3 linked regions of the Lonchura striata genome follow. The protein of the gene in region 2 interacts with the protein of the main gene of each other region in a biochemical or structural test. Links are inferred from orthologs where the notes say so. Each region holds a gene or a part of one and is shown on either strand. Other genes may lie near its edges.

Evidence for each region.
Region 1: the proteins of UBE2B (region 2) and UBR1 form a complex in vitro, tested with the Homo sapiens proteins (2 studies listed by BioGRID and IntAct, with this or other methods). The link is inferred for Lonchura striata from reciprocal best matches to the Homo sapiens genes UBE2B and UBR1.
Region 3: the proteins of UBE2B (region 2) and RNF20 form a complex in vitro, tested with the Homo sapiens proteins (4 studies listed by BioGRID, with this or other methods). The link is inferred for Lonchura striata from reciprocal best matches to the Homo sapiens genes UBE2B and RNF20.

Annotation. Positions count from the first base shown.
Region 1 is NC_134608.1:35,938,514-35,948,345, reverse strand, and holds the start of UBR1 (E3 ubiquitin-protein ligase UBR1), read right to left. Parts: upstream 5,668-9,832; 5' UTR 5,604-5,667; coding exon 5,532-5,603; intron 1-5,531. UniProt on the Homo sapiens protein: E3 ubiquitin-protein ligase which is a component of the N-end rule pathway. Recognizes and binds proteins bearing specific N-terminal residues that are destabilizing according to the N-end rule, leading to their ubiquitination and subsequent degradation.
Region 2 is NC_134617.1:9,521,022-9,530,853, reverse strand, and holds the start of UBE2B (ubiquitin-conjugating enzyme E2 B), read left to right. Parts: upstream 1-4,778; 5' UTR 4,779-4,845; coding exon 4,846-4,889; intron 4,890-7,880; coding exon 7,881-7,961; intron 7,962-8,635; coding exon 8,636-8,661; intron 8,662-9,695; coding exon 9,696-9,785; intron 9,786-9,832. UniProt on the Homo sapiens protein: E2 ubiquitin-conjugating enzyme that accepts ubiquitin from the ubiquitin-activating enzyme E1 and transfers it to a E3 ubiquitin-protein ligase. In vitro catalyzes 'Lys-11'-, as well as 'Lys-48'- and 'Lys-63'-linked polyubiquitination.
Region 3 is NC_134642.1:59,174,285-59,184,116, reverse strand, and holds the start of RNF20 (E3 ubiquitin-protein ligase BRE1A), read left to right. Parts: upstream 1-4,597; 5' UTR 4,598-4,702; intron 4,703-4,731; exon of another isoform or gene 4,732-4,858; intron 4,859-7,592; 5' UTR 7,593-7,644; intron 7,645-8,160; 5' UTR 8,161-8,202; coding exon 8,203-8,331; intron 8,332-8,455; coding exon 8,456-8,623; intron 8,624-8,740; coding exon 8,741-8,888; intron 8,889-9,336; coding exon 9,337-9,519; intron 9,520-9,832. UniProt on the Homo sapiens protein: Component of the RNF20/40 E3 ubiquitin-protein ligase complex that mediates monoubiquitination of 'Lys-120' of histone H2B (H2BK120ub1).

The sequences.
Region 1 (9,832 bases), on a different chromosome or scaffold from region 2:
ATGCGCACTAATTCAGTAGCTGTTGCTTCCATGACAATTTTTCATCTACTTACTAAGCACAGCTCTCTTGGAACACTGAAGTCTTTGCAAACTAACAGCTTGCATGAGGCAATATTATAAAAAACAGCTATACTTTAACTACACTGATTAACAAGCTGATCTTTTAGTGCAGAAGTGATTGCCTAAATTTCAAGGCTATTTTTAGATTTGTACATTAATCTAATCAGTGAAAAGGAATATAAATATTTATTAACATTAAAAAACAAAATATGAAGGAACAGAAACTACCAGTAGCATGAACTAAATCCTGTACTTGGTCCAGCACTACAGTTAAAAGGAATAGTAAAATACTTTGTTATGCATAGCAAAAATCTGTCAGGCACGAGATGACAATACCAGCTGTCTGTCAAAGCAACTAGAAAAACCAGGCTTTTAAAAGTAAATATTTAAAATGCTGGGGGCATACTGATTTCAAGCAGGTGCCATTCAACATAAATACCAAATGCAAAAGGCAGCTTTAAGGCAAAGAACACCTGTACAAATTAAACAGAGATTAGCAGGACAGTATCCCAGAAAACTTTATTTTGATATTGTCTAACTAATTGAGGAAACATCTAACATTCTAAAATTATAAATATGCACAAGTTCTTTGATAAGTTGGCAGAATACTTAAAATTACTTTGAAAAGGAAAGTTCAAAGGATTAATTTTCATATATGGGTTCTGCTTTCAAAGTTCTGGCTCCATTTTTCCTTCTTATTATCTTGGTTTAAAATGACCAGTTTTCTAATGCACTGAGAATAAGATCCAACTAGGGTACAGAACGTCTAGGCATTACTTTTAGTAAAAACAACAGGAAGATAAGGCAATCTATTTCAGCCTCAAACATACTCCACAAAGAAGAGGCTTCAAAAGTAAACACTAGAAATTAACATAATTCTTCTTCCCTGCCTTAAATCAAACTTTGTTTTTAGGAGTATAAATCCTATCTCTGGAAGGGCACAGTTCAGGGAGTTAAAACAGAAACTTATTTTATTTGTTTTGTCACATTCATAACAGGAATTGTTGTTTCACATTTTCCAACAAAGCACAACTAATGCTTTAGTAGAGAATCTAAGCTGCAAAAATTACTGTTTAGAACTCAAATGCAAAATATCTGTTTTCTGATCCATCTGTCAGCTCCTTTATATAACATGGCTAAAAAAACCAAACCATACTACCAAACTTTAGTATCCAGTCAGCTCTAGATATCAGTGATTACACTAAAAGAAGGAAGTTAAGTTTCAGAAGTTTTTTTCCCTTGGCACAACATGGATAACGTTCAAGACTGTCTAACATTGTCCTAACAAAATATCAACTTTGACCTGAAGACATAAAATAACTTTTTGATCTCTTTAGTCATTTAACTTTGGCCCCTGAGCCAAAGCAGGGTGCCAATTCATGTCAAAAGCTGCTTTAATGATGCAGGTGTTTGCCCACTTGGAATGAGACTCAAAACCAGCACAGACTACTGAAGTTGTCTAGAGTACAACATGCCTTGATTCCAGCAGTCACCAATGCCTACCACCTGAGCTGACCCAGAGCAAATTGGTGACCACCAGAGAAAGATAAATAACCACCAGCACCACCTGTTACTGTTTCAGTTGCTGGACAGCTAAAACTACTGTCTTCTTCAGGATAAGCAACGCACCAACCCAAGCTGCTCAACCTTTTGGAAACCGCAGGTGACTTTTAAACCACAGGCACCTCCAAAACTACAAGAGCCCAGCTGCAGCTCATGGGAGTAGGCACCTGAAAGCAATCTGCAGCCCAAGGGACAACTGGAGTCAAACATGGCCTGTGGCTCTCTCCACCATGCAGGAGGTACCTCTATTGTACCTCCCTACCAAGTGGACACTCCAGCCTAAATATGCTGCAAAATTAGCAGGATACTACTACTAAGTAGGTTCAACAGGCAAAATGGTCAGGAATTCTGCAACTAATTTTCAAGTCTTTGAGGCATGCAATCTAATCACCTTTTCATGTTCCAAATTTTTTGGTGAAACCTGCATTTGGTAGATAACAACACACCATTTCTTGGACACTGACACAAGTGTACAGTAAATACTGTTCTACCAATATGCTGCACTGTTCTAAATACAGCAATTTGACCATCTGCATTTCAGGGAACAGTTACAATAAAGGATATGATGACTTACCTAAATTGAAAGTTTAAACAGATTTAGCTTAACAAAGTAAAATTATATGAACATGTCATCTGGTCTAAGCAGGTCAATTCAGTTTAGAAGACACTGCAATTCCAAATAAGAGACCTGACTCAGATTTCACTAATTTCAAGAAATAACCTGCATATGAATATGAATATCCCCTCCAGTAGCAGGTCTCCTCATATACATTTTCTCAACTATGTTACAGCACTGAATGACACAAAAGATCTGAAATATCCTAAAATGCACAAGTGCCTGCATCCTACTTCACATTATGAAACTGAAATTTGGAAATTTCCTATCTTAAAAGGTAATATCCTAATAATACAAGCTTTTCTCTTCCTGCACACCACTTATATCTCAAATTTTGTTAGGTTCTGACTAATGGTAAAAGAACGAACCTTTAAAAAAATCCCTTTTCTTCACAAATATTACAGAGAAGGTACATATATGTGACAATTTGAAGATTCAGTGTAAATTTTAAATCCTTGCAACAGCTTAATATCAAAGCCCTGCTCCAGGTAGCAGATGCAAAAGCAGGCAGGCGTCAAACCGGAATTTGTTTAGAATACAAATGGACAGCCAACCAAGGGCTGGATCCAGCCTGCAAAGCTGGTTTTTGTCAGGCCACCAGTAATGCCTGCTAGCCAACTACTGGACAAGCCAAGTCCAGCCCATCAGCCAGCCAAGTAAACTGTGGATGCTGTTAGGAAAGGAAAGAAAGTAAACTCGAGTTTAGTAGACAAGGTTTGCTACTTAATCAGCATTAAATTCAACCCACTCTCTTCCAGGGCAGCTCAGGAAGCAATACAGCCACTATGAAGAAGCAGAAGAACAGACAGGACCTGACTTCCAACTAATGCAGCGAAACATCAAGTTAAGTACTTTCAACCACAGTCATCCAACCTGAAGCGCTGCAGATAAATGCAGGGAAGACACCACTGACTTGGGCTGGGCGCAGAAGAGTTTATTACCTGAGTCACCACCATCCACTCCAGAATCAGGCTGGCTCCTGCAGAATCATTCAGGTGACCTGCACCATGAACCCAGCACTCTGGGAAGGTTTGCAGCAGATGTGGTGCTGCACTGCAGCCAATGGCACCCAAAGCCAGAGACCAACAGAGGAGCAAGAGTCTGTCTGACTGCTCAGACACTGAGACAGCTTTGACGAGTTCAGTGAGGCCAAAGCTCACCCTATTTAACCAGTTCTTTCCACTCCACACAACTCCAATTTTAGCACCACAGTAACTTTCAGAATAGCTCTGCACAGTGAAAGCACAAGTCAGGCAAGATATATTAGTTCATATATTAGTTCTACCTACTTAGTACCATCTTCAAGACAGCAATAAATTGGGTGTACTGCTTCCAGATTACAACTGTCTCTACCATCACTATAGCCAGGTTTGCTGTCTAACATCACAAATGCTGTCAGACACAACCTAAGTACGTATCCCAAGCTCTGCTTCTCCCTTTTTATATCACATCCTCAGCCACTACTCGCTGTCAAAATCCCTGCATTTTGCTTGGATGTATGGCAAGCAACATGGTCTGGATGGCCAACTACCTTCCTCGGAATAATGATAATTCTGGTCCAGACACTTTCAACTGTCTGAAATCACACAAAAATTAAGACAACTTAGTGGACCAGCATCACCTTTGAGCAGCTGAGGATCCCTTCAGCAATTCTTAGTTTCATGGATTGCTTGGGCTAACTCAGCCTCTGAAGTCCCCAGTTAATGAAAGGCTGATCGCATTGCTTTGCTGCTGATTGCCACTATTACCCTCAGCACCACTGGCTTTATGCACAGCTCACAAGCTTAAGAAATCGCCTGTCTTGGGACGCAATTTTTGACACTATGCAATCAAGTCACATTTTTCCTATTGTAAAATCAGGCTGTTCCTGATTAAAAAAAATTCCACGCATAGGCCTGTTTCAGTTACAGAAATATACAGCACTTAAGAATAAAGTCCATGACTAAAGGGCCATTGCTAATGATTTGCAATTCTGAGAAGGGTACAAGGAATAATCTTTGTTGGCTTACTGCTGCCACATGCAAGACAAGCTCCATGAGTAAACATCTTTCTATTTTTATTAGTGGTGTGCAGCATCATGTAAACAGCAGCTATTCTACAGGCTTGCCAGCACCCAACTTTTAAACACAGGCAGTCAACAGTATCAAAACTATACTATGTGTGCAGACTGTTACAGGAAATAGAACATAAAATGTAAAGTGCCTCATACACATCCATCTGCCTTCCTTTCTTAACTTGTCAGCTTTTGGGTTTTAAGCTGCTCTAGATAAAGTGTTTCAAACATAGTAATGCACTATACAAGTTTGTGAAGGAAACCACAGAAGGCACTTACGTGCTACCACTAGATAGGGTCAACAACAAATTGTGTTCAATAACAAAATATTAAGTCCATAGACAATTATTTTGCAGAACGAAAAAAGAAACAATACTCCTGTTCAACAAACAACTGTTTCCCTCTAAATTATACTATGTTCTTTCTAAATGCTACTATTTGCTGCTCCACACACTATATAGAACAGTAATTTGTTACTCTGCCTTTTCTGTTCCACAGTAGAGTCACCTTTAATTAAGAAAGGTAAAGGACTATGGTTAAAATGCACATTTACAGTACAACGTTTAAAGGACGGCTCTGAAGCTTTCCAAAGTTTGATCTCAATCAATTCCGTCATTAGGTGCCAACAGAAGATCCAGGACAGGGGCTGAGAGATGCTGCGGGGAACCGAGCCAAACCGCTCCCCCGCGGGCCCGTGACAGCGGCTGGCCGGGCCCGGGTCACGGGCCCGGGGCAGGGCTGGCTCTCCGCTCCCGGGGCACGGCTGGCTCTCCGCTCCCGGGGCACGGCTGGCTCTCCGCTCCCGGGGCACGGCTGGCTCTCCGCTCCCGGGGCACGGCTGGCTCTCCGCTCCCGGGGCAGGGCTGGCTCTCCGCTCCCGGGGCAGGGCTGGCTCTCCGCTCCCGGGGCACGGCTGGCTCTCCGCTCCCGGGGCACAGGCGGGAGCCCGGAGCCGCAGCCAGCGCAGCCGCCGGGAGCGGTGCGCAGCCGCGCCCGCCGCCGTGCGGGGGCACCGGGCCGCCCGCTCCGGCCCCGGCGCCCAGGCCGCGCCCCGGGTGGTGCCGCAGCCTCCCGCCGGCTACGGCAGGTGCAGAGCGGCGCGTCCCGGCCCTCCACGGCGCCGCTCGGCAGCCGCGGAGAGCCTGCCCTGCTCGGCCGAGCGGCAGCGCGGGCAGGGCACGGGCTGCCCCCGAGGGCGGGCAGAGGGAAGCGCGGCGCGGCGCCGGTCCGCAGCCTCACCATAGTTCGCTCCGGGGCCTGCGCGGGGGCCCGGCCGCCCGCCGCGGGACCTCTGTCGGCTCCGTCCGCCATTTTGAGAGCGAGGGACGCGGCCGGCGGCGCCGTGACGGCCGGAAGGGGCCGCCGCCGTCACCGGGCGCCGCGCCCGCGGCCCAGGGCCCGCCCCGCGCGCAGCCGCCCCGCGCGGGGCCCCGGCAGCGCCCCCTGCGGGAGGCCGCGCGAAGCCCGGCGCGGGCCGGGCCGGCGCGCGGAGCTCCTGCTGGCCGGGTCCCCGCAGGCACTTAAACCGTGCCCGCTTCGCGCCCTGCATCGCCGAGCCACGGAATCCATTAGGCTGGAAAAGACCTGAAATCATCGACTCCAAGCTACCACGGAACACCACCTTATCATCCAGCCCGTGGCACTGGGTGTCATGTCCTGTCTTTCCTTATACCATCTCCAGGGTCGCTGCCTCCACCTCCTTCGGCAGCCCATTCCAATGTTTAATCACCCTTTCGGTGAAGAAATTCCTCCTAATATCTAACCTAAACCTCCAGTGGTGCAGGGGACTATGTCCCCTCATTGCTAGCAAGATAATAGCGCAAGTAATTTCATCTACACGGTGCAAAGTCACTTCCATGTGGTTCCCACATGGGCTAAGCAAAGGGAAAATTTTATTAACTTGGTGTAGGAAGCAACAGTAGCTTTAGGCAAATGCCTAAAGACCAAAGGATCTCCAAGATCAAAATTTTTCCTCCACACCTCCTTCCAACAGCGTATCAAAACTGTTCTGGGTGCTTAGCAGATTTGGCAGATTAGGGCATTTAGGATCTTGATTGAAGTGTGACAAACATGGCCTATGCATTGCTGGAAGTTTTCCAGATTGTTGCAGTCCAGTTGTACAATTCCGTGTGTTTCCACCTTCGTAAGGCTGAGGAAATAGGCAAATAGCCATAGCATTGGATCTTGGGGTCCATTTTGAATGCCTGATATCTTGGATATTGGGAAGACTGCCTTCTTCCACTGTAGTCTTCCTGTTTCAAGCCTCCAAACAGCTTTTTCACTTTCTTCAGTTATCAGTATGTGTGGGTCTCAGATTCAGTTAAAGAAAGAAACTGAGAGTTTCTAGCCAGGCAAAAAGCCTGGGAAAGAGCTGGAAAAGAATGTAAATAATTATTTATCTCTCTTGTTTTTCACATTGTTTATAGTTAAGTTCTATCACTGTGCGTCAAGCACTTTGCACCAATGGTGGTGGGTTGTTTTCATTTCAGAACCAATGGATTTGGTCCTCATGAAGCTTTGTATAAAAGAGCAGTGTATTTTGAATAAAGGGGAGTCTTACTTTCACAGCCTTCTGAGTCAAGTCTATTCATTCCCATCCTGCCTCGACAGTGACAAGTATGGATGGGATAAAGCTTACAGGTGATCTTTTCAGGTATATCCAATGATTTTTTTGTGCTGTACCCAGCCACAAGTACTCTCAAAGTTCTTCTCTTATATCTTCAGAAATCTGAATGTAGTTCCTCTGCCACAGCTACCAGTCATCTTCATATTAAGAAGTCCTGCAGACTTCTTTAATTACTGAAATCTGTCAGTTAAAATCACCATCACTGAGACAGGTTTAGGTATGAGGTGTAAAAAATAAAAATTGAATTTTGCCATGAGACAACAATCTCATCTCGTTCTGTCTGTCCATATTGCTAATTGGTGCCCAATCCTTTCCAATAGCACAGCTGCCCGCTAACCAGAAGTGTTGTTTGCACAACAACTAAGTTTGGACTGTGATTACTGGAGTCCTTCACCTGTTTTGGCATCAACACTAGCAATTATATAATCCAGCTTCCAATGTAGTCGAGCAAGAGAAGCAAGGCAGAATTCCAGCAACAAACCCAGTCAAGCAGCAGGAGGGCTGCCTGCAGCCCCCTGTGCTGCAAGGCAAGCAGTTTGCCTGGCTATCTCTTTTAGCTGTCAGTGGGGGTTTGCTTTCCTGTGTGACTTCAAAAGGTATGCTAATGTAAATCACTGTTTTAATTGAACAGGATTTACTGTTAGACTTACTTTAAAAAATTATTATTAAAAAAATGGAACCCACATGCACTAAAAGACAGCAAATAAAGTGTCAGTAAACCTCTTAAAAAAACAAGTTGGCACCATTGCCCAGGCAGAAATGGCACCAAACAAGATCTCCATGGATACTACAGTAATAGAGGAAAGAAGAAGAACAAAACAGGAATTCAGATCAATTTTAATACAGACAAAATAATTGACAGCCTTGCTAGAGCTAAAATAAAATGGTAGAGCTTCAGGAAGAAAGTGAGAAAGCCCTAGTTCTCCAGATTACTTCTGAAGATTGACAGGATTGCTGATTGATGTTTATTTAGAAACATTTCTTCAGGGTGTTTTGTTGGGGGGAAAGAGTAGACAAACAAGATGAAAGGCAGCTGAAAAAAAAACAAAGCAAACATACATGAAGTCCTGCAAAAGAGTAACTAAATTATGAAGAACATCTAAAAAGACGTGTCATATTAATGCAGTCTAACTGAGCTGAAAAATGTTTTTTTCCCGATCAATCAATGCTATTTATTATCAATGCTAAAATTTAAATCTTTGTCCTATGAGAAATTACATGAGAAAATATAATTACAATTAAATAATACTGAATTAGAAACTTCTAATACCTGAAGTTGTTTGAGAATATTATGATAAATAACAAAGAGTGATGTGAAGTGACAGGAGCTTTTTCACCTGAACTCATACTTAAGATGGGAAGAAAAAAATCTCAACAGTAAATGGGCAGCAGTTAGTAAACTGAGTTGATAGCAAAGAATAACTTAGCAATTATGAAACTGTTCGGTTACTATATCAAGGTTTTAAATGGTGTGTGTACATATATATATATTAAAATGTTCAAAATACCATAAAAATACTTCTGTCAGGATCAAAATAGGTCAACTGCCTAGATTTCCGAGCAGGTAGAATTATAATACCGTAACGAGAAAAAGCCAAAGTTCACATGCTGTATTTGTAGGGAAGCAGGCTGAGATACGGATCTCTTCGTACGCCTGGGTTTCCTTCTGCTTTAACCCAGGCATTTCCAGGCAGCCCTGCGGCTGGAGGGGAAAGCAGGAACGCTCAGGGCACAGGGAGCGGGGGCAGAGCCGGGATCCCCCAGCCTCGCCGGATAGAAGCTCCAGCACAAGGGGAGCGGCGGCATCGCTCCCCCGAGCCAAGCGCGGCCGGGCGCGGGGCGGCGCGGCAGCGGAGGAGGTGGACGCGGAAGTGCCGGGTTCGGCGGCGCAGGGCTCGCCCGGGGCGGGCGCGGTGGCGGCGCGGCGCAGGATGCTGGGGCTGGCGGCGGGGCTGCTGGCGGCGGCCGCCGTGGCGCTGCTGCTGGACTGGTACGGGCCGCCGGCGGCGCCGCCGGCCCCGGGGCCGCGCCGCCGCTGGGCCCCGCAGCCCGCGCCCGGGGCGGCCGCCGCCAGCCTGCTCTGGGTCGTGCAGGTGAGCGGGGCCGGGCGGGCGAGGGGCGGCCGAGCGGCGGGCACGGCGGCGGCGCGCGGTCAAGCCCAGTTACAGGTGTTCGGCCAGGCTGCCCGAAAGGTCGCGTTGAGGAGTATGTTGAGTGCCGGCAGCTCGGTGTGCAGCTGCAGCCTGAGCTCTGGGGGCGAAAGGCCGGGACCTGCGAAATCCTTTGCACAGCGAAGAGCACGGGGCACGGGACCTGTGTCCCGGCCTGGGGACCGGGCACTCAGAGACGGCAGGAGCCCATCACCCCCAGACTTGCTTGCTCTCAGACTCTGAGGGTATAAAAGCCCGGGGATTCCTTTCTTTGGGGCACCTCCTCAGAGGTACCCAAGTCGAACTGTTATTTTGATAATTACTGCACCAAGATTAAATTATTTTAATGATCTCGAAGTCTGAGCTATGGGAAACCTGGAGCTGAGCTGGTAAGGAAACCTGGCCTGACTGTGAGTGTGGGGATGTAGCTGTGAAGGGGCCTCGGTCCCAGGTGGTGTGAGTGTGACTGCCATTATGGCTCCTGGATGGTTGCACAGAGAAGTTTCCTTATCAGACAAGATATGTGTAGTGGAAGCGGGTAATTAAAAATCACCTAATTATTACGCTATCCTGTATATTGCATCAGTACCTGGTGCGATATTATCTAATATCCTGGGGAGAAATGCAGGCTCTGCCTGTCCCTTTCCCCATTCAAAACCTCAGAAAGTTGTGTGGCTGAGAAAATAGCTTTACTGATTTATAGCAGTAGAAGGTACTATGCCAGTATTCAGAAGCTTTGTTTCCAGGTTAAACATAAAAATCCA
Region 2 (9,832 bases):
AAACTACATACTACTTTCTCTAACACAATTCATGACCCTCTTTCGAGAGCCTAGCTACAGCTGGGTTGTATTGGCCATCAGGCTCAAACAATCCTGACCAGAATCTAATTAAGTACTTGCTCTAGGTAAACAATTCTCTAAACACATTCCACATAGGAAAAACAAGGAGCAGAAATATAAATTGTTTTCTTTTTCATTTCTCTCCGTGCACCTCTATGAAAAATCCTGAGAGTGAGAGAAATGTGCTCGCCACAGTCCAGCAAGGAGCAAACCCCACCTGCCCCACGTCCAGACTGAAATTCTTGTGGGCTTTTCACAGGCAGAGGTCTGAACTCAAGCTGAGCTTTTCAGGGAGAATTGGGCACTGGGCGAGCTCCCAGGATGGCCCCAAACCACAGAGCTGGCGTGTGAGAAATGCAGATTAAATGGCTGGCTCTTCACAAATATTAAATGGAATACTGTATGTGTTATGTTGGAAAGTTATTTTGTAGTATTCATCCTTTTAAGTAGTGTGTTAAATATAGTTTTAGATTATAGCATAATATTAAAATAGAAGCTGTATGATGTAAATATTCTTCATTACTGTAAATATTCTTAATGAAGAATATTAAAATAGAAGCTATGTGCTGGTCATAAGGAATGGATAAGATAACCAAGAAACTCTTTGCATAGAGATAACAGCAACAAGACAAAAAAAAAAAAATCCTAAAACAAGATTTATTGCCTCTTTATCAGACCATACAGCCTTCTTCCAGGCACTCAGAGACAAAAGGAGCTCCAAGGATGGCCTGTGAAAAATGCAGACTAAATGGCTGGCTCTTCACAAATATTAAATGGAATACTATATGTGTTATGTTGGAAAGTTATTTTGTAGTACTGTATTCATCCTTTTTATGTAGTGTGCTAAATATAGTTTTAGATTATAGCATAATGTTAAAATAGAAGCTATATGATGTAAATATTCTTCATTATTGTAAATCTTCTTAATGAAGAAAATTAAAATAGAAGCTATGTGCTGTTCATATTTTTGTGACCAGCATAAGGAATGGATAAGATAACCCAAGAAACTCTTCACATAGAGATAACAGCAACAAGACAAAAAAAAAAAAAAAATCCTAAGACAAGATTTATTGCCTCTTGATCGGACTATACAGCCTTCTTCCAGACACCCCAGAGCCAAAAGGATTCATCTATAAGATGAGGGGAGGAGCTGACAGAAAAAATTCCTAGTTTGAAAGGAATATTTGCATCATGTATGAGATATATAAATATGCAACAGGCTATTGCTTTTAAGAGTTAATCCTTTGTTAGCGAGCCATGTTTTCTTGAGGAAAGCATCCAGACGTCCGTAATTCTTTGCTTTTTATTGTCCTTTATTGTCCTAGCTCTGATTGTCGAAATTCTTATTGCCCTAATTTTTATTAATGTTTTTTTATAACTATTTTATTACCATTAAACTTTTAAAACTTTTAAACAAGCGATTGGCGCTTTTCACATGGGAGAAGCCTCTCAGCCAGCTCTGCTGTCCCTCTCCCATGGCTGGGTGGGGCTGAGGACACGCAAGAGCTCCGGGATGGAAGCAGCTCCAGCAGCTCCCAGGCAGGACACCAGGAACTCACCCAGCTCACACACATCCTCTCATGATGGGTCAAAGTTACCTTAGAAATTGTTTTGGTTTGTGAAATGCTGCACAAGGATCTAGTACTTACTCAAGATTAATATAAATTGTGCTGTAAAAAATTAAATTATTAAAATTATGTTGATATTTAAAATCATAAAACTATAAACCAAAATGTATTAAAATATTAATATTTTTAAAATTATAAAAATGCCCTATCAAATGGCATTAAAAAAAATAGAAATAAAAATTGAACTTGAAACAGCTTTCTGATCAGGAAGTTGTTATAGCCATCCCAGTATTATTTAGGAATGAACACATTACTTTCTGTTCTAGACCACAGATTGTGAAAGGATTTTTTCCAAGTGTTTGAAGCACTGTTACAGTGGATAACTTTAATGGTTGCACAGGAAAAAAAAACCTCTCCAGGAACCAAATGACAAAGTTAGTATTGCAATTGTTCTTTCCACTCATCAATGGAAGTCAGTGTGTTACAAGTACATGATAAATTGAAAACATTCGAACTAAAATGCCCATAGTGACATTATAATGGCAGTGATGCATTTAAGTTCATTAGGCAAGGAAGTACTAGAAATAATTATCACCAGATACAAATCTAAAGTGGATATTTAGTGCAGATTTCATTTTGAGACATATTAAACCACCTTTGCAAGGCCAGAACCTATATTTTATGGTTAGTTGGGACTGATTGCTACACATGTTACTGCCAGGTAGGATTAAAATATTCTATTAGATAACATCAATACACTGTTCCTCAGTGGTGTCAGAGGAGAATAAATATTGTCCCTGATGAGACATTGCTGAAAAAGTTCCCAAGCCATGTGGAAACAACAAGGGATTTCAGATTCAATCCAGCTTGGTGCTGCTGTTCAGTTTTTTGTTTATTTCCCTGCACAGGCTGAGTGTGACTTGGGCTTCAAAGGCAAAGAGCTGCCCTGGGCACAGGGGATGCCCTGTCTGGGCTTTGAAGCAGTGCCTGCTAATACTGAATTAATCAATGTTGTTGTGACCTTCATTTTGTGTACAGGTCCAAGCTTGCATTGGTTGTCACAGATTGCTTTCTCCCTCCCAAGTTAACAGGAGTGAAATAAAAGCTGGATAAAGGTAAAGGAGCAGCAGTGGAATGAAAACTGGAACGTGTGTGGTGGGAGGATGAGGAGGAGGAGGAGAGTCCAGAGGAGGGGATTGCTTGCCAGGAACCATTCCTCACTAGTGTGGGGAATAATGTTTTAGTGGCTGGGGTATTATAGTTTCTTATTACCAAATCTTTTGGAAAAGCTTGCTCCCCTGCAGTACCAGGCTTTGTGTGAATTCCTCACTTTTGCCATCTGACTGTTTTCACTAAGGTGGGACATTGGATTAAAGTGGTCTGAATAAATCTTTGCAGAGTTAAATCCCACCCCATGTGAAATGTGAATTCAACTTATAAATAACCCAGTCAGTGGTGCTGCTGCAGCAGGGCTGGCATTAACTTGGTGAAAAGGCAGTACTGAGCTTTGTGCTGTTAAACCCTGGGCTGATGCTGTTCCACCACCTGGATGGCTGCAGGCAAAGGGAATGGACAGGCAGTGTTTATTTCTGTCATTTCATTATACGTCCCATGATGGTTTGACCTCCTTAAAATCATCTGGAAAAAAAAAAAGCAGGGAGGCACATGTAACCACACAAATCCAAGTTCAGGGATAACTTCCAAGACTGCTTGTAAGAACTGGGTCACGACTTCAAAGAGACCTGCTCTGTCTGTTGGAGTAATGGGATTTTTAAAAAGGGCTGAGAGCCAGGACATCAGCCTGTATTTAGAGGGAACTTCGAGAGATGCTGAGAGGCCCATATGGCAAAATGGACCATTATCCCTAATTAAAATTTGATAAGAACTAAATTTTTAAAACCTCCAGTTACTGCAAATAGTGGGAGTGGGCTGAATACACAGCATAGAAGCAAGACTCGAAATGTACAACCTTGCAATCTGACCACGACTAATAGTTTCTGTACTTTGCAGACGTTCAGCTGATCACAGTGAGCTGGTGTGTCTGGCAAGGAGAAAACCCCACCGGCCCCACGCGTGGGCTGAAACGCCCGGGCAGCGCCGGGCTGGGCACTCCCGGCTCCTCCCGGACCCTGTCCCGGCACTCCTGGGGTGCCGCAGTCCCGGCTCTCTCCCGAGCCCTGTCCCAGCCCTTATCCCGGCAGTCCCGGCTCTCTCCCGGACTCTTTCCCGGTCCCAGTCCCGGCTCTCTCCCGGACCCTTTCCTGGCTCTCTCCCGGTCCCTTTCCCGGTCCCAGTCCCGGCTCTCTCCCAGACCCTTTCCCGGCTCCCTCCCGGACCCTTTCCCGGTCCCAGTCCCGGCTCGCTCCCGAACCCTGTCCCGGTCCCTGTCCCAGCAGTCCCGGCTCTCTCCCGGTCCCTTTCCCAGCTCTCGCCCGGTCCCTTTCCCGGCTCTCTCCCAGACCCTTTCCCGGCTCCCTCCCGGGCCCTTTCCCGGTCCAGTCCCGGCTCTCTCCCGGACCCTTTCCCAGCTCTCGCCCGGTCCCTTTCCCGGCTCTCTCCCAGACCCTTTCCCGGCTCCCTCCCGGACCCTTTCCCGGTCCAGTCCCGGCTCTCTCCCGGACCCTTTCCCGGCTCTCTCCCAGACCCTTTCCCGGCTCTCTCCCAGACCCTTTCCCGGCTCCCTCCCGGTCCCTTTCCCGGCTCTCTCCCGGACCCTTTCCCGGTCCAGTCCCGGCTCTCTCCCGGTCCCAGTCCCGGCTCTCTCCCGGACCCTTTCCCGGCTCTGTCCCGGACCCTTTCCCGGCTCTCTCCCGGACCCTTTCCCGGCTCTCTCCCGGACCCTTTCCCGGTCCAGTCCCGGCTCTCTCCCGGACCCTTTCCCGGCTCTCTCCCGGTCCCTTTCCCGGCTCTCTCCCGGTCCCTTTCCCGGCTCTCTCCCGGACCCTTTCCCGGCTCTCTCCCGGACCCTTTCCCGGCTCTCTCCCGGTCCCTTTCCCAGTCCCTTTTCCCGCTGCCTCTCCCCAAACTCCGCCGAGCGCGGAGCCGCGCGCACCCGCCTCCCCGCGCACCCCCCGCGCGGCGCGATGGTGCGGTCCCGCCCCCCCCGGTGCCGCAGTGGTGCGGCCGGCGCGGCCCCGCCCCGCGCGCGCCGCCGCCATTGCGGGTTGTTTGTGCGGGCGCAGCGGGCGCGGGCGGGAGGCGGCGCCGCGGCTCCGCCATGTCCACCCCGGCGCGCCGCCGCCTCATGCGCGACTTCAAGAGGTGAGCGGGGCCCGCACACGCCGCTGCCCGCGCCTTCCTGCCGGGCCCGGGGCTGGCCCCGAGCCGCCCGGGCAGGGGAGCGGAGTGCCGGGGGGAGCGGGGGCAGCGCCGGCTTTGTTCGAGCCGGCTCGGCCGGCGCCGACGGCTGGGGGCGTCTGAGGATAGAAGTTGGAGCTGCGAGCGGGGCGGGCCGGCAGCGCCCGCGGGGCCGGGGGCGCCGGGCTGGCGGGGGGACGCGGGCTCGGCCCGGCTCGGCCCGGCTCGGCCCGGCTCGGCTGGCACGGCCGTGCCCGTCCGCCCGGCCCGCCACCCGCGGGCTCCGGCTGTGGAATGGCTCGGCCGGAATTCAGAAGCGTTCCAGGCTTGCTGGGTCGCAGGGTCTCTCTGGAAAGAAGTTCGTAGCGATAGGCACCTGGAAACGAAGCGCAGAGAATTGGCGAACGCTTCGTTTGTATGTAGTAAGAGCCAAAATGACCTTTTGTGTTTTTATGCACAATCATGTGATACTGTGTTTAAAGTTTGCAATCATGAGGAGTCTTGTGTAATATATGCGAACTGCTAAAGGAGCGCTTATTAGTTGCACTCTTTTAAATGTTAATGACTGAACCACTGACTCTGGAATACATTATTTCCAGTCTGACACGTAAACATACTTAGAGTGTGGAAAGGGGTGGGAGGTTTCCTTGTAAGATGTACAGTAAGAGTTCTCCAGGCTGGGTCACTCAGCAGTAGTTGGAGGTGAGTCAGCTTTGATAGTGTCTCTTTTTTTAGCATGGCTATGTTATACCAGGCCCTGCGGACACATCAGTTAACACTTGACGTGTATTGTAGTTGCTTTACGTGGCTGCACAACAGCAACAGCGACAAAAATCTGATTCGTGAATCCAGAAGCAGTAGGAGGTTTTTGGGAAGTGGAGCCCTCCCCTGCTGTTTGTGCGAGTGTTGGTGTTTGTTAAGTGGGTGTTGCTTGATTCCTGTTCAAATCAAAACAGGATATTCAGACTTTTTATTGTATTTGGTTACACAGATGAATCAGTGATTTTTTTTTTCAGGCTGACTACCTCAATTTTTCAAGATTGCAATCAGATGTGGGTTTTATGCTTTTGTATTCCTACAGGGACTGGTTTAATAATTTTGGAATTAAGGCTCGAGAGAAGACTCTAAAGCTGTGGAAAAATATAACCAAGTAGACAATGTAAATCAAATCCATCAGTCATATATTTAGCGGCTTTTATATTCCAAAACTTATGTAACTTTTTCATATTAGTTTTTGTTTTACTCTGCTCTTCTGTGCTGCAAGTTGTGTATTTGTTTATGTTATTATACTTCATACTGAAAGAACAGACGGTGTGCTGTGAACTCTGATTCACTTCAATAAATACAAACTGCTTTTGCATACTGTGATTGTCAGGAGCAGTCAAGAGAGAAGAGTTCAGCAGATTTCTTACCTCCTCTAATTTGTTTGAATAAACCAAAAGAAATAAAAGGTTATTTATTTACTTTGCTGATAAAAAGGGCGTACTAAAACCACATTTTCCCTACTGTTTAGGACTTTCAGGATTAGTCCTATTTGCAGTCCTTGCCAGATCCGTTCTGTAGTTAGACCCTGTGACAAGTAGGGTGCACACATGCTTTGAAGTTGATCTAAAAACCAAAGTCATCTCCCAGATGCACTTGGCAGGCTAACACTCAGGCATTGCTGCTGGCCTGCAGCCTGGCTGTCACGTAGGAAGAAGTCCTGTTCCTGCTTTCCCTGACCAAAATAGTAGGTGGTTTATGCTGCTGATATTCAGCGGTCTGGACTGTGTGTGCTCAAAGAGCAGAGATGTAAACACAGAGTTTAAAGGGGCTCTGAGCAGCTTCAGGGCCCTCAGCATCTTTGGACAACACACGGTGTTACCCCAGGCTGAGGCAGGGCAAGTGCAGGGAGGGTTGCCTGGCTGTGCTGCTGACAGCTCTCAATAAATCTGCATATGGCATTTAGTGAGAATTTGTCCCTTGGTCTGCAGAGCTTTTTGTAGTGACTTGTTTATAAGTGTGCTGTGATATTATCGAGCCACATGGTAACACTCAAGAGTTGTTTGTGACACAAGGGCAGTCACTGCATTTTCCTTATTGGATAACTCCGGAGGCAAAACAGGTGAGGGGAGTAGGAGCTGTCACTGAGGGGGTTTGAGCAGGTGGATTGATTGGGGCCTGCTGGTGTACATTCATCAGGGTCTTGTGATCCTTAATATGGAGCAGTGATGGGCAGGGGGGGCATTTGGATCCTGCCCTCTGGCTGCAGTACATATTTCTGTTAGTGAAGCTTTCAGTAGGTAACATGCTTTTCCCTAGTCCGAGGATTAAGGAACTAAAAATAATTTCACATGTTCCCGTAATTGCTTTAGAGATAAACACGTTTGTGGGACTGGTAAGAGGGGGTAGCAGCACACAGGTTTCCCCTTTGCTCCCTTTTGAAGCAATCAGCTTGTCAGTTGAAATAGGCTTATACCAAATTTAGCCACTTGTCATGCATGGGTCTGGGTATGCAGGAAAAGCTCCGCTGACGGTCCTTTGCCTTGAGTCCCAGCAAGAGTGCTCTGTGTGTGTGTGTCACTGCCTGGATTTCAGCTCCTGGTTGTGGCTGCAGCTTGTTCTCCAATTCACTGTGGCAGCCAGCAGCAGTTGCTCTCTCATAGTTCACAGTGTAGCACCATAAATCCCAGCTGTCCGGGTGCTATAAGTTATTCTTACAGCTAATCCTTTGCTCCCTGAACACCTAATCAGACCTCTTGTGCCCTTGTGTCTCCATGTAAAACACGAGAAAATCTTGATGTGTGTTGCCTTGTAGATCTGTCTTTCAGAGTGTTGATAATCTGCATGTAATGCTTTGTGTATATTCTAATCTAGAATGAGAAAATATGTATAAAATGTGGATATTACTGGTAAATTATATCTGCAGGTGGAAGTATTTCATATATATGACTTGTGATTCTATGTAATTCTTAGATTGCAAGAAGACCCTCCTGTGGGTGTCAGTGGTGCACCATCTGAGAATAACATAATGCAATGGAATGCAGTTATATTTGGGTAAGTTTTTATCATTATGAAATTCGGTATTAGAGGGCTAAATATGATAACCTGATATTTGTTTTTAGTTATTCTCTTGTTTCATGTGTGTAAAGTCAGTAAACTTAAAAATGTCCAAAACGGGGAATGGTTAGGAAGGAAAAAAAACCTAAATTTTTAATTTGTTTAGCTTTGTTGTTGAATAAAGCTTGCATGTGGCTTAATAAGTAAGTTATACTGTGTTATGAAAAAGCAGAATTCCTCTTTAAAGTACATAAGTGCCACATGTTCTCAGCCATTAAATCCAGATGTATTAGTGATTGAAATGAATCCTAGTAGGACAAGGTGCAGGATCTGTCTGGGAAGTTACATTATGTATCCTGTGCAAGAAGAAGTGACAGTATCCTTTCCTAAAACTGAAGTATGCTTGCTAATAATCTGCTCATTTGTTCCAATCTAGTCACCTAAAGGCATGTATATTGTTTGGGATGATGATAAAGTAGATATCCCAAATAGCAGGTGTCTAGATACAGCAAAGCTCTCAGAGGTTACCTATGGATGCTTCTCTAATAATTTAAATTATTGCTTCTGCCTGTATCTTGGAGAGGATGAGAAAGAAGATACACATCTATTGTGCCTGTGTGGAAGTAGGTAATGATCACTTTTAACTAGAGTTTCTTTTTAAAACCTTTCAGGCCAGAAGGGACACCTTTTGAAGATGGTAAGTTGCTAACTTTTGTATCCTTTGTCATTCTAATAAATGTTGCCGGTATGAACATCGTTCTGCTTTTGAAAAATAATAGATGTTATCTGTGTATAATTTGAAACAAACCAAGTAAGTGAACCCATGAGGCTTGTTGGCTATAAAAATGTGTCTTGAGCTAAGCAGTGTCTCATTACACTGGCTCATGGTTGGTTAGAAAGCTACGAAGCAATGCTTCTATCAAGGCTTTTTCATTCATGCCCACAAGAGCTTTTAGCAGGGTTTATTGGACTTACACTGCCAGGTGTGTTTGCACATCTCTTTAGCTGAGCTCAACAAGAGCTTTTCTCATTTCATCTGTGGCATATTTGATTCATCACTGTTCTCCTAATGAAGAACAGGTGAGAAACCTTTAGGTGTTCTCAATATAGAACTCAGTGAGGTTGAGGGAATCCCAAATTTGTACATAAACATGAAAGCTAGTGTGTAATGACCCTCCCTTAGGCATATGAGGAATAATGAGTTTAATAATTATAGTATTATTACAGTAATTGGCAGCAGATGGGTTTTTCTCTGTGTTGGGTTGGAGGAATTACAGTAAATTATTCACTGATCCATAACAAAGGTTTTCAGTGAATAAGTTTTGAGCTCCAAAGACTGAGATTGCTGATTATGAAATTCCAGTGTTTCTTTGATGGCACCACAATGCCTTCTTAATGAAACGCCTTAAAGTCACCCAAGTCCATGGACCCAGCATACCTGGGTCGTGGAAAAGTGGGATAATGTTGGATAAGGCTGCCTTTGCCATGTATGCAGTGAGTCTCCAAGCTCCTACCCAACCACTACTGCAGGGTTTATTACTATAACCAGTAGTTCCATAGTTGCATTATCCCTTGAAATATATGAAAAGCAATCAGATTCACTGTTGCTTTTTTATATAATGGTGAGGAGAAATGCTGGTCATGGAGCACATAAATTAATTTCTTGTCTCTGTTCCTGGATATAGTCTTTTGTTGTTAGTTATCTGATTGTATTTATCTTTGTTTGGACAGGTACTTTTAAACTAGTAATAGAATTTTCCGAAGAATATCCAAATAAGCCTCCAACTGTTAGGTTTTTATCAAAAATGTTCCATCCAAATGGTGAGTAAACCATCTTTATTTAGCTGTAATACTCAATAAATATTACA
Region 3 (9,832 bases), on a different chromosome or scaffold from region 2:
CATTAAAAAAGGCTATTCATAGCTAAAAGAACACCAGAGTGAGCCAACACAGAAATGTATTAAATTATCATGGAACTGCAGAAATACTGCAAGCCTGGTGACACTCAAGAGAACTAGATGCACCTTGGCCAGTTTAGCGGCATATGCTTTGGTGATCCAACCTCCTTCCCATCTTGCTCCAATGTTCTGACTCTTGCCGACCATAGAGTATTTCTAAGAAAGGGACAAACATTTTAATTTAGACATAAAGTCTAGTGGCTCTTTAAAATATCAGTGTTAAATACATTGATAATAATAATAATAATAAATAATGTTAAAATACATTGGCTCTCAGTTATTTGCTTTGTTTTGCAACATAGAAGAATGGCCTGGAACAGTGTACTTTGTGCTAAAAAAAGATGCTGATGCTAAAAAATGAGAATGAGGTGAAAAGGCAAACCAGAAGATTTCTAAACTGAGAGTTAGGAGGAATTATCCCCCAGGGATTGCTGGAAAACTTTTACTTTCTCTTGCAAAATGAAGTAATGTTATTTTGTATGGTCACTGGGCACTTTTCACTAGTAAACTCTGCACTCTGTCAGAGGCACAGAGTGCTAGCAATTTCTCTGCTTTTGCTAACTGCAAATTTTAGGAGAGTGCTTCTGGAACTAAAGGTCAGATGCTGGCATGAGAGAAGTGGCCTGTCTAGGAAAGTCTGAGTACCATTTGTACAAGGTTTTAACTACACAAAGATTCTCAGGAAAATTGTGTCAAATATAACTATTTTAAAACTGCTTCAAATCTCTAAGGGGCAGCCTTATTTGAAATTTAAGAGGTTTTGATTCAGTTTAGCTGAATGGTGTTTTGTTATTCCACCTAATAATGGATGTAACATGGAGGCTCAAGTATTTCACTCCTAGTTAATATTTTTAATTCATTCTGGTAATTTTTTTTGTTTGAAAGTCTTAAGGTTAAACTTAAGCAAGATATAAAAGTCTGTGACTAGTCCATGATCTAGAAGTAAAACCTGCTATAATGACATGAGCTACATTGGCAAGGATAAGGCTGAAGGGTTTGATTAGAGATTCTAGAATTGATTTTGCGAATTCTGTAATTTTCACTGCTGAGTAATTATTATCTTCAAATGCAGCTTGTTTTCTTTCTCTGGTCTCTAAATGCACCAGTAAAAAGCTTACCAGGATTCTGAAGAGCCTGTCTTTAAAATTCAAATGCATCTACTGCAATTAAATAAGTTTGGATAGTTGTCATAAGCTCCTTTACAGGAAACTCTTCATATCACTATTTTCAGGACTATTTCTATTTGCTCAAAGGAATCCTCTGCACAGACAGCAAATTAAGGTGGTGTGGTGCCAGGACAAAAAAAAACCAAAAGAGAGTGACTGAGGGAAAGGGAAAGAGACAGTAAAGCCTGTGCTCTGTTTCCTGGGCTTTTCATTTCTCCTTATCACTATGGCAGCTGGGCAGTGAGGCAGCAAGACAATCACTAATAATCCCTGCTGAGACTTTCCAGCCTGGGTTTCTCACTGACTGAAATCTTTCATTCTGTCTTTTTCAGATTGCCTGCCAGGATGATCTGGGTGTCAGTGGAGTGAGAGAGCTTCTTCAATTCATACACATATTCTCCATTTAGCATTAAGTGTTTCACTACAAGAGGAAGACAACTAGGGTAGGAACATGACAAAACAAAAGTAAGTGAGAATTTTTGTGCAGCATATATAAGCAACTGAAACATTTCTATTCAAGTTCCTTCTGGTCAGGTGACAATGGAATTTCTTTACTACACTTGGGCAAAATAGGATCAGTGTCTCTCTCCCCAGATGTGAGTCATAAGTATCCTATTATGCTACTTAGGAAAGAAGAACTATCCAATTCTAATAACAATAACAATAACAATAACAGAAAAAAAAAAAAAAAGTAATGCAACTTCTTTCAATGGAAAAGCAAGAACTCACTGCATTGGCTACAGCTCTATGTGTGTTCATTTTCTTTAGTCAGCTTGTCTGTCAAGAGAAAGACATCCCAAATAACATAAACAGCAATTGTTGGCTGGATCAAGGATGCTGTGGAGTGATACGTTTCTGTGTGATCTGATCCACTGAGTGGATATCATTAGGTAAAGTACCTGATCTTATCAAATGCAGTTCCACTGTTGGCCCTAATTGATGTGAACCTTGCACAGCACCCTGCAGCACCACCCTTCATTCCAGTTCATGCCCACAGCAACAACGTAGACTACTTCACAATACCTGAGAAGAAAACCAAAAATTATCCTATTTTCAGAGCACAACCTTAGCTACAATGGTATGTTTTATCCTTACCTTACAATGAAGTAAGGATAAAGTCATGTCTAGAGGAGAGGACACCAGAACAATCCTCAAGGACAAAATTTTGAGCAAGGACTGAAGCTTTGTTCTTCAAAGCTTAGCTTTTAAAATTAATCTTGTTGCTGCTTATCACACTTTGGTAACATGAAAGTGCCTCTTCCACAAATAAGCCATTAAGACAGGGATGTCTTTTAAGACACTGGTGTTTCTATCTTTGCTTCAAAGCACCAATGATCAAAATAGCAGGACAAGATAGAATCACTCTGCCTGTAGCCAGTGTATGAGGAAATTAAGGGGGGTTAGGAAGCTCAGTACAAGCCCTTCATCCTATTTATTTATCTATTGTAATTGTTTTTAAGAAAAAAGCTACATTTGCTGTGAAGTCAAAGACCTGTACACACATATGGCAGGTCTGGTACTTTTATTTCGAAGTATGTTCCACTAATACGCATTTTAAATTTTTTTTTTTTTTCTTTCTCTGACTTTTCCTTCCTTTACTTCACCTCTATGATCTGATCTAGAAGGCACGGAATAGATGTGCCAGCTGACACAGGACTGAGGGCTGTGTTTCATACCTGCTCTTCTGGGTGCCTGGCACTGCATTATCACAAAGTAACTGCTATGGCTCCAGTTAACAACCCAGTTAATGAAAAGGCTCATTTGTGTGCTGACACAAAAATACATCTTTACCACAGAAATATTGATGCACATGGCTTTTCTCCACTGAATTTGGAATCCAGTTATCTCCTCTAGGGTAGTTAGTCTGCTGTGAGCGTTTTGGGTACTGTTTTACTTTGCCCAGTTACTCGTTGCCTGTAGATGTCACTTTTCCACTTTATAATCTTAGACTGGCTGCTTCTTATGTTCTTGAGCCCATTTTTTTTTTTTTTTTTGTGCTTCAAAGCTCAGCTTTTAAGTGTGCTTTCCTTGAGTGTGCAACCTGCAATCCCTTTCTTCATCTGCCATTGACAGCACCTGTGTTGACTGGCCAAAGCTCTTCTGTTCCCATCTTTGGGATGAATCTGTGCTCTGCTATTTCTTCAGGAGACTCCAGGCACACAAATCTTCTCCCAAAAGAGAGGATTTCCCTCTGCCCTCCAGGTGAGAGGGCTCCCAGACCATCTCCCATAGAGCCTTTCCTCTTGGAAGCAGCACAGTTCTGCTGGATCAAAGATAATTTTAGGTACTGTCCTGGGTATGCTAAAGCTCCATATTTACCTGTATATTTGCAAACACATCTGGGTAATACATGAATAGTTCACAATGCTGTGTCTCCACCTCCCACCTTACCAAAGAGGATGCATTTCACACCCATGTGTTGGGCTTTCATAGCAAATTTGGTGGCTACTACTACTCCTACAACTTGAGGGAAAGACAGTGTTTGAGGTTTTGTGGGTCTTTTTAATTTGGAATAGGGTTTTGGAACAGGTAATGGGTGATGCTCAGCCTGGTCACAAGGCTGTGCACTTCTTGGTTATAGGAGTTTCAGTCCAGCCAGGTCCCCTTTAGTGGCCACAGTCTGAGCATACCAACACTGCAAGCTCCAAATTGTCTCTTTTCTAGGCTTTCTTACACAACTTTTTTATTCAGTTCATGTCCAGGTCTCCGGTGGTTTTCTTCATACCAGGCTCCCCTCTGCTTATGCTAAGAACATGTGCACATTCTTTCCAAGAAACACCCAGCTTCAGTCACTTCACTTCTTACCAACTGTAATTTTGTAAAGTGTTCAACTCTTCCTTGTAGTAATGGCAAGTGAAAGACTACAAGGTTCAGGAAAAAGCAACCGTATTTGCCATATTCCTGGTAGACTAAGTAATTGCAAATTGCTGGAAGACTCTCTGCAGTTCCTCTGCACTAGCATTGGATTGCTTGGCTCTCCCACTTTCTTCAAAAAAGAATCTCAGTTATTAATACAAATATTATGAATCCCTCTCTTTCTCTCCTCACCACTCAGATTTTTTCTTGTATTTTTTTCCCTCATCTGCTGTTCTGTCTCTGCATAATTCACGCAGTTAATCTTTAAACAATACTGAGGAAAGCAGAACATTCTCGCTATTGGAAGGGAGCAAGGGTGTGGCCTCTCCAGTGCCGAATGCAGGGGGACGATCACTGTCCTGGCCCTCCTGCCACACCATGGCCAGGACAGACCATTGATGTTTTGCCCACATTCAGCATCTGTGACGCCCTTGCCCCCCGGTCCGGCCGGGACACGGCTCCATCCCGGGTCGGGCAGGGAGGCGGCCGCTCCGCCGGGGCCGCGTGTGGGCGGGGGAGGCTCCGCCCGCGCCGCCATCTTTGGTGCGGGTGAGGGCGCCGGCGTCTGGTGCCGCTGCGGTCCCGCCATGTCGGGCGAGGGCAAAGTGGCGCCTCCATGACGGGTGAGGGCGAAATGGCGGCCGGAAGGGGCGGCGGGGGGCGGCCATTGCTGACGGGACGGGGTGCGGCGGCGGCGGAGGAGGAGGCGGCGGTTACGGCAGCGACGAGGCGGCCGCGGCGGCTCTGTGGGGACGGCCGGGGCCGCAGAGAGCCGGGAGGTGCCGTGCGGAGGACGGAGGGGGCGCTGGGGGCTGCAGGCAGCGCACACCCGCGGAGGGAGGGACGGGCCCGCGGCGTGTCCGGCTGGCGCTGTGGGGAGGTGCCGGGTCAGGGGCAGGACCCCCGCGGGATGCGGGAGAGCGGAGGAGCTCTGGGAGCGGCTGGTGTGTGGGGAAGCTGAATCGCAGAATCGCAGGGTTGAGATCACCCTGTGCAACCCCCTGCCAAGGCAGAGTCACCTGGAGCAGGTGGCAGAGGAACACATCCACATGGGCTTGGGATGTTTCCGAAGGGGAGAGTCCTCGATGTTTGGGGAAGCTGCTCCAGTGCTCTGCCACCCTCAGTGTTTTTCCCCATGTGGAATTTTTTGGGTTTTAGTTTATGGCCACTGCTCCTCATCCTGTTGCTGGGTAGCACTGAAGAGTCTGAAACACCCTCTTAGTACTCACCTTGGAAATAATTGTGTGCATTAATGAGATCCCCTCACAGTATTCTCCAGACTAACCAGGTCCAGATATCACAATCTCTTTTTATAAGACAGATGCTCCAGAGGCGTCATCATCTTTGTGGCTGCCACTGGACCCTCTCCAGCAGCTCCTTGTCTTTGTACTGAGGAGTCCAGTCCTGGACACAGCACCCCATCCATGCCATGCTAGTGCCAAGCAGAGCAGAGGGTTGGAAGTTTTCCCCTTTCTCCTCCAATGCTTAAAATATTCCTGCTGAGTCTGATCTGAAGCCATGGAAAAATCCTGTTAGGCTTGTGGATGGAACATTGTTTGACTGGAGTTCCTGCTGGGGAGTATAAACTCAAATAATAGTTTTAAAATCTGCCCAGTGCTTTTATTTCTGTTGTTCTGTGTCTGTACATAAATCCCGGTTTATATGTGTGTAGTGTCTGTAGTATAGTTCCTGTACTGTAGCAGGAACATCAGGTGGTGGCAGGTGTAGTAAAGGTTTTTGATTTAGTTGTAAAATGATAGTAAGTAAGAAAAGAAAATGTAATTTGAGTTTCAATTGATAGGGCTTGTAATCAGAAATCCACCTGGTTTTTTTTAAGTAAATACAGAATGACTGAGTACAACTTACTCTGTTAGTTAGCAGAGCAGATCAGCAGTTCTGTGTCAAGAAGGAAATAAATATGACATTCAAAGAAATGTACATTCATGATTAGAGTTCTTTACCTCTTCTGTGTGTGAGCAGCAGAAAGGATTGTCAGGCACTGGAAGGGCCTTGTCCAGGGAGCTGGTGGGTTCCCTGTCTCTGGTTGGATGTGGCACCCAGTGCCATGGTGTGACTGACAGGGTGGTGTTGGTTCATAGGTTGTACTCGGTCTCAGAGGTTTTCCCATTCTAAATGATTCTGTGAAAGACTGGGTCTGTGGCCATAAAAAATTAGTGGGTTGGGGTCTTGTGTACAGTGTATGAGGAGGTTGTGAGAGGGGAGCTGGAGCTGAGAGGGGTGATGCCAGGAGGCAGTGGAAGGGGTATTTTGTCCCTGGACAAAAAGTGTGAAAGGCAGTGAGCAGTGCTGGCTTGCTGGACTGACAGGGGACAGATGAGATGTTTTTAGTGATAGCTGTTCCCTTCCAATTCTCTTGGAATTCCACCTAAAGTCAGAGCTGCTGCTAAGAGAAGGAAAATGGTTCAGTGGCAGTTGTCTTTCTTTGTAAATTTGAGATGTAGTTTAATGTTTCTGTTAAAAGATACCTCACAGGATCTGTGCTGTTTCAGTAACTCAGAAATAATTTTTATACTATTTTGCATATGATGAAGGGCACTGCCAAGCTGAGATGCTTGTGAATTGCTGAGATTTGGCAAAGCAGTGTACGATCTTCATCTTCAAAACACAATGGCCTTGTGGCTTTCAGTCGAACTGCTCAATTAAAGCAGGTAGGAACTGGGAGGTTCAGTTCATAACCCCTAGTTTGACTGTAAATGCCATTATAGGCTTAAATGGAACAAGTCAGGATTTACTGGTACAGTCTGCACTTCATTCACTTCTGGTTTCATTCAGTCTAGAGGCTGCCACAGCACCAGTGGCTGTGGGAGAAGACTGCAGCTCATGTCTAGTGAAGATTGGTTGGTTCCATGTTTCATCTCCAGTCACTTCCATTTGTATTGTAAACCTTTTGAGGATACACTTGTAATTTTGCTCAATAATATTATAGGGAACTACAGGAATTACTGTTCAGACATGAGAAAAGCCTTTTTTAATGTTAAGGATGATCAAGCACTAGAGAGGCTGCCCAGAGTCATGGCTGAGTTTCTGTAGCTGGAGATGCTCAGGTTGCCTGGACAGGACCCTCAGCAGGCCCTGCACTGGACATGCTTTGGCTGAGCCTGCTTCATGCAGGGCACAGGGCAGGTGGCCTCCTGTCTTCCCTTGCAATCCCAGCTGTTCCGTGATTCTCTAGTAGTCCAGAGCTTTTCAGACTGGATTGACTTAGGAGTAGGTTCTCTTGAAAAATGTTCACATCTCTCCTGGTACACAGCAAAACTCTTGGAATGGGTCTTTGCAAGCCTTGGCTCCAGGTTGCTTTTCAGTTCTGTAGGTTTTGTAAGCTCTCTAAGTACAGAGGTCATTTATTTCCAGGGTGTTGCTACTCTCAGCTTTGACTGGCTTTGTGTGTAGATTCAATAGGAGCAGTTTGGTTGTTGTGCAGTGAACTGGTGCCACATCCACACTGTCTCAGTTTTTTCCCAAGTCTAACCTGACTCATTTTTGTTAATGCAGAAAAGCAGAGAGTGAACCTGGATGAAGATTTTTTTGCAAAGAGGGTGATAAGGTACAGTGCTTTTATTTTAATGTTACAGTGCTGTGGATATTTTCCCCATGAACTTTCTGCTTGCAGTGCAGATCCTGCTGGTGTCTTTTACTGCTAGTGTTGGACCAGAATGTGTGAGTCAGCACAGGCTGGCACAAACTCCCAGTTAAAACACACGGAATAGATTTATTTCCATTACCTTGCTACTTGTGGGATCTCTAAAGCAACACCTGGGCGGAGGTGCAGTATTAGAGATATGGGCACCCTTAAACTCAGCCTGTGCCTGAGGATCATGGACTTGTCAAGGGTTATTCCCAGCTGCAAGGTCACTTGAATGATTTACAGTCCTCCTTACCAGTCTTCCACATTTAATCCATTTCTTCCAACAAATATTTTTCAAAATCTTTCTGGTTCCGTGATCTTCTCTGTTTTGGGCATTTTATTACCATAATGGGTCAGCATGTTAAAAACCACAAATAAAATTGACCGCATGGATGTGTATTTGGTGTTTTTTAAATAGCGCTCTTTAATGTTCAGGGAGAACTTGGAGAAGGTGGGAATCTTTACACTTCAGCCACCATGTCTGGAATCGGCAATAAACGGACAGCAGGAGAGCCTGGCCCTTCTGCACCTCCAGAGAAGAAGGCAGGGGTTGAAGATTCAGGCACCACTGTGGAGACCATCAAACTCGGTGGTGTTTCTTCAACGGTATGTCTTTCTTGCATATCCCCTCTCCACCTTTTGGTTTTTTTTCATCTGGAGGCAGAAATGTCTCTGGGGTCAGGTTGAGCCTGTCTGTGACCTGGCCTGTATGCCATATGCCTGTGCCCAGGAGGAGCTGGACATCCGGACCCTGCAGACCAAGAACCGGAAGCTTGCAGAGATGCTCGACCAGCGCCAGGCCATCGAAGATGAGCTGCGGGAGCACATTGAGAAGCTGGAGCGTCGGCAGGCCACCGACGATGCCTCTCTGCTGATCATAAACCGGTACTGGAATCAGGTTGGTAACAGCTTTTGTTACTTCATATACAGTTTTCTTGTCTCCCTTGTATCACTGCAGTCCTTTTGTTCACATCCATTCTTTATCTTGCCTTGCCTTGCCTATCCCATCATTCAGTTTGATGAAAATATCCGCATCATCCTGAAACGCTTTGACCTGGACCAAGGTCTTGGAGACCTCTTGTCTGAAAGAAAAGCACTGGTGGTGCCAGAACCTGAACCAGACTCTGACAGTAATCAGGAGCGCAAAGATGAGAGGGAACGAGGTGAGGCAACTGTCTGGGGACAGTGGGATTTCAGCTATGGACAATGCTGATGCCCATTTCTAAAGGCTGTCTGTCACTATAGGCCACGAGAAAGCAAGACGCGTACTGCTGCTATTATAAAGGTAAAAAAAAGGAAGTTTATTTTCTGACTCCAGCATTTATAGTTTTCCAAAGGTGACAGTGGATTGGAGGGTGAAAATGGCACTTCTCCAACAACACTGGACAAGCTACCAATCTATCAAATTTCTCTGCCTCTATGAAGGAATGCAAAAATATTACGTTATTTACAGAAAGTGTGTGAGAAAGTTTGCTACAAGAATGTAAACTCAGAAGGCTTTAGTAAATATTAAAAAATCAGGGCCACAGCTGACAGTCTTTTTGTGATTGTAAAGAGCAGTGATAGGCTACCTTCTAGAACACACTTTTTCTCACCTCTTTATGTTCCCAGGGGAAGGATTGGAGCCGGCATTCTCTTTCCTGGCCACTCTAGCCAGCAGTACCAGTGAGGAGATAGAATCTCAGCTGCAGGAGCGTGTGGAGTCCTCCCGCCGTGCTGTTGCCCAGATTGTGACAATGTATGACAAGCTGCAGGAGAAGGTGGACGTGCTGTCTCACAAACTGAATAGTGGAGGTATGATCAAGGTGGCAGGTATTCAAGAATGCTTGTCTGCCCCCACCTTAGACCTGATCATGCATTTAACATTAAGGTCTAGTCCTTCTCACATGCTTGTATTTTCCAAAATGAATTTGTTTGGCTTTCCAAACTCTTGTTATCATAACCTCTTCTGAAGGATCATGTGCCAGAAGTGCATTGTAGCTACCTCTGTATTTGAATGATGAGGGTTCTGCCCAGAGTATTGGGCAGCTTGTTTCTGCCAGTACTGTGTTCATGTGCCTGAGAAGTCAGAGAGCAGTTAAACCTTCTCAGCTTCCACATAAAATGC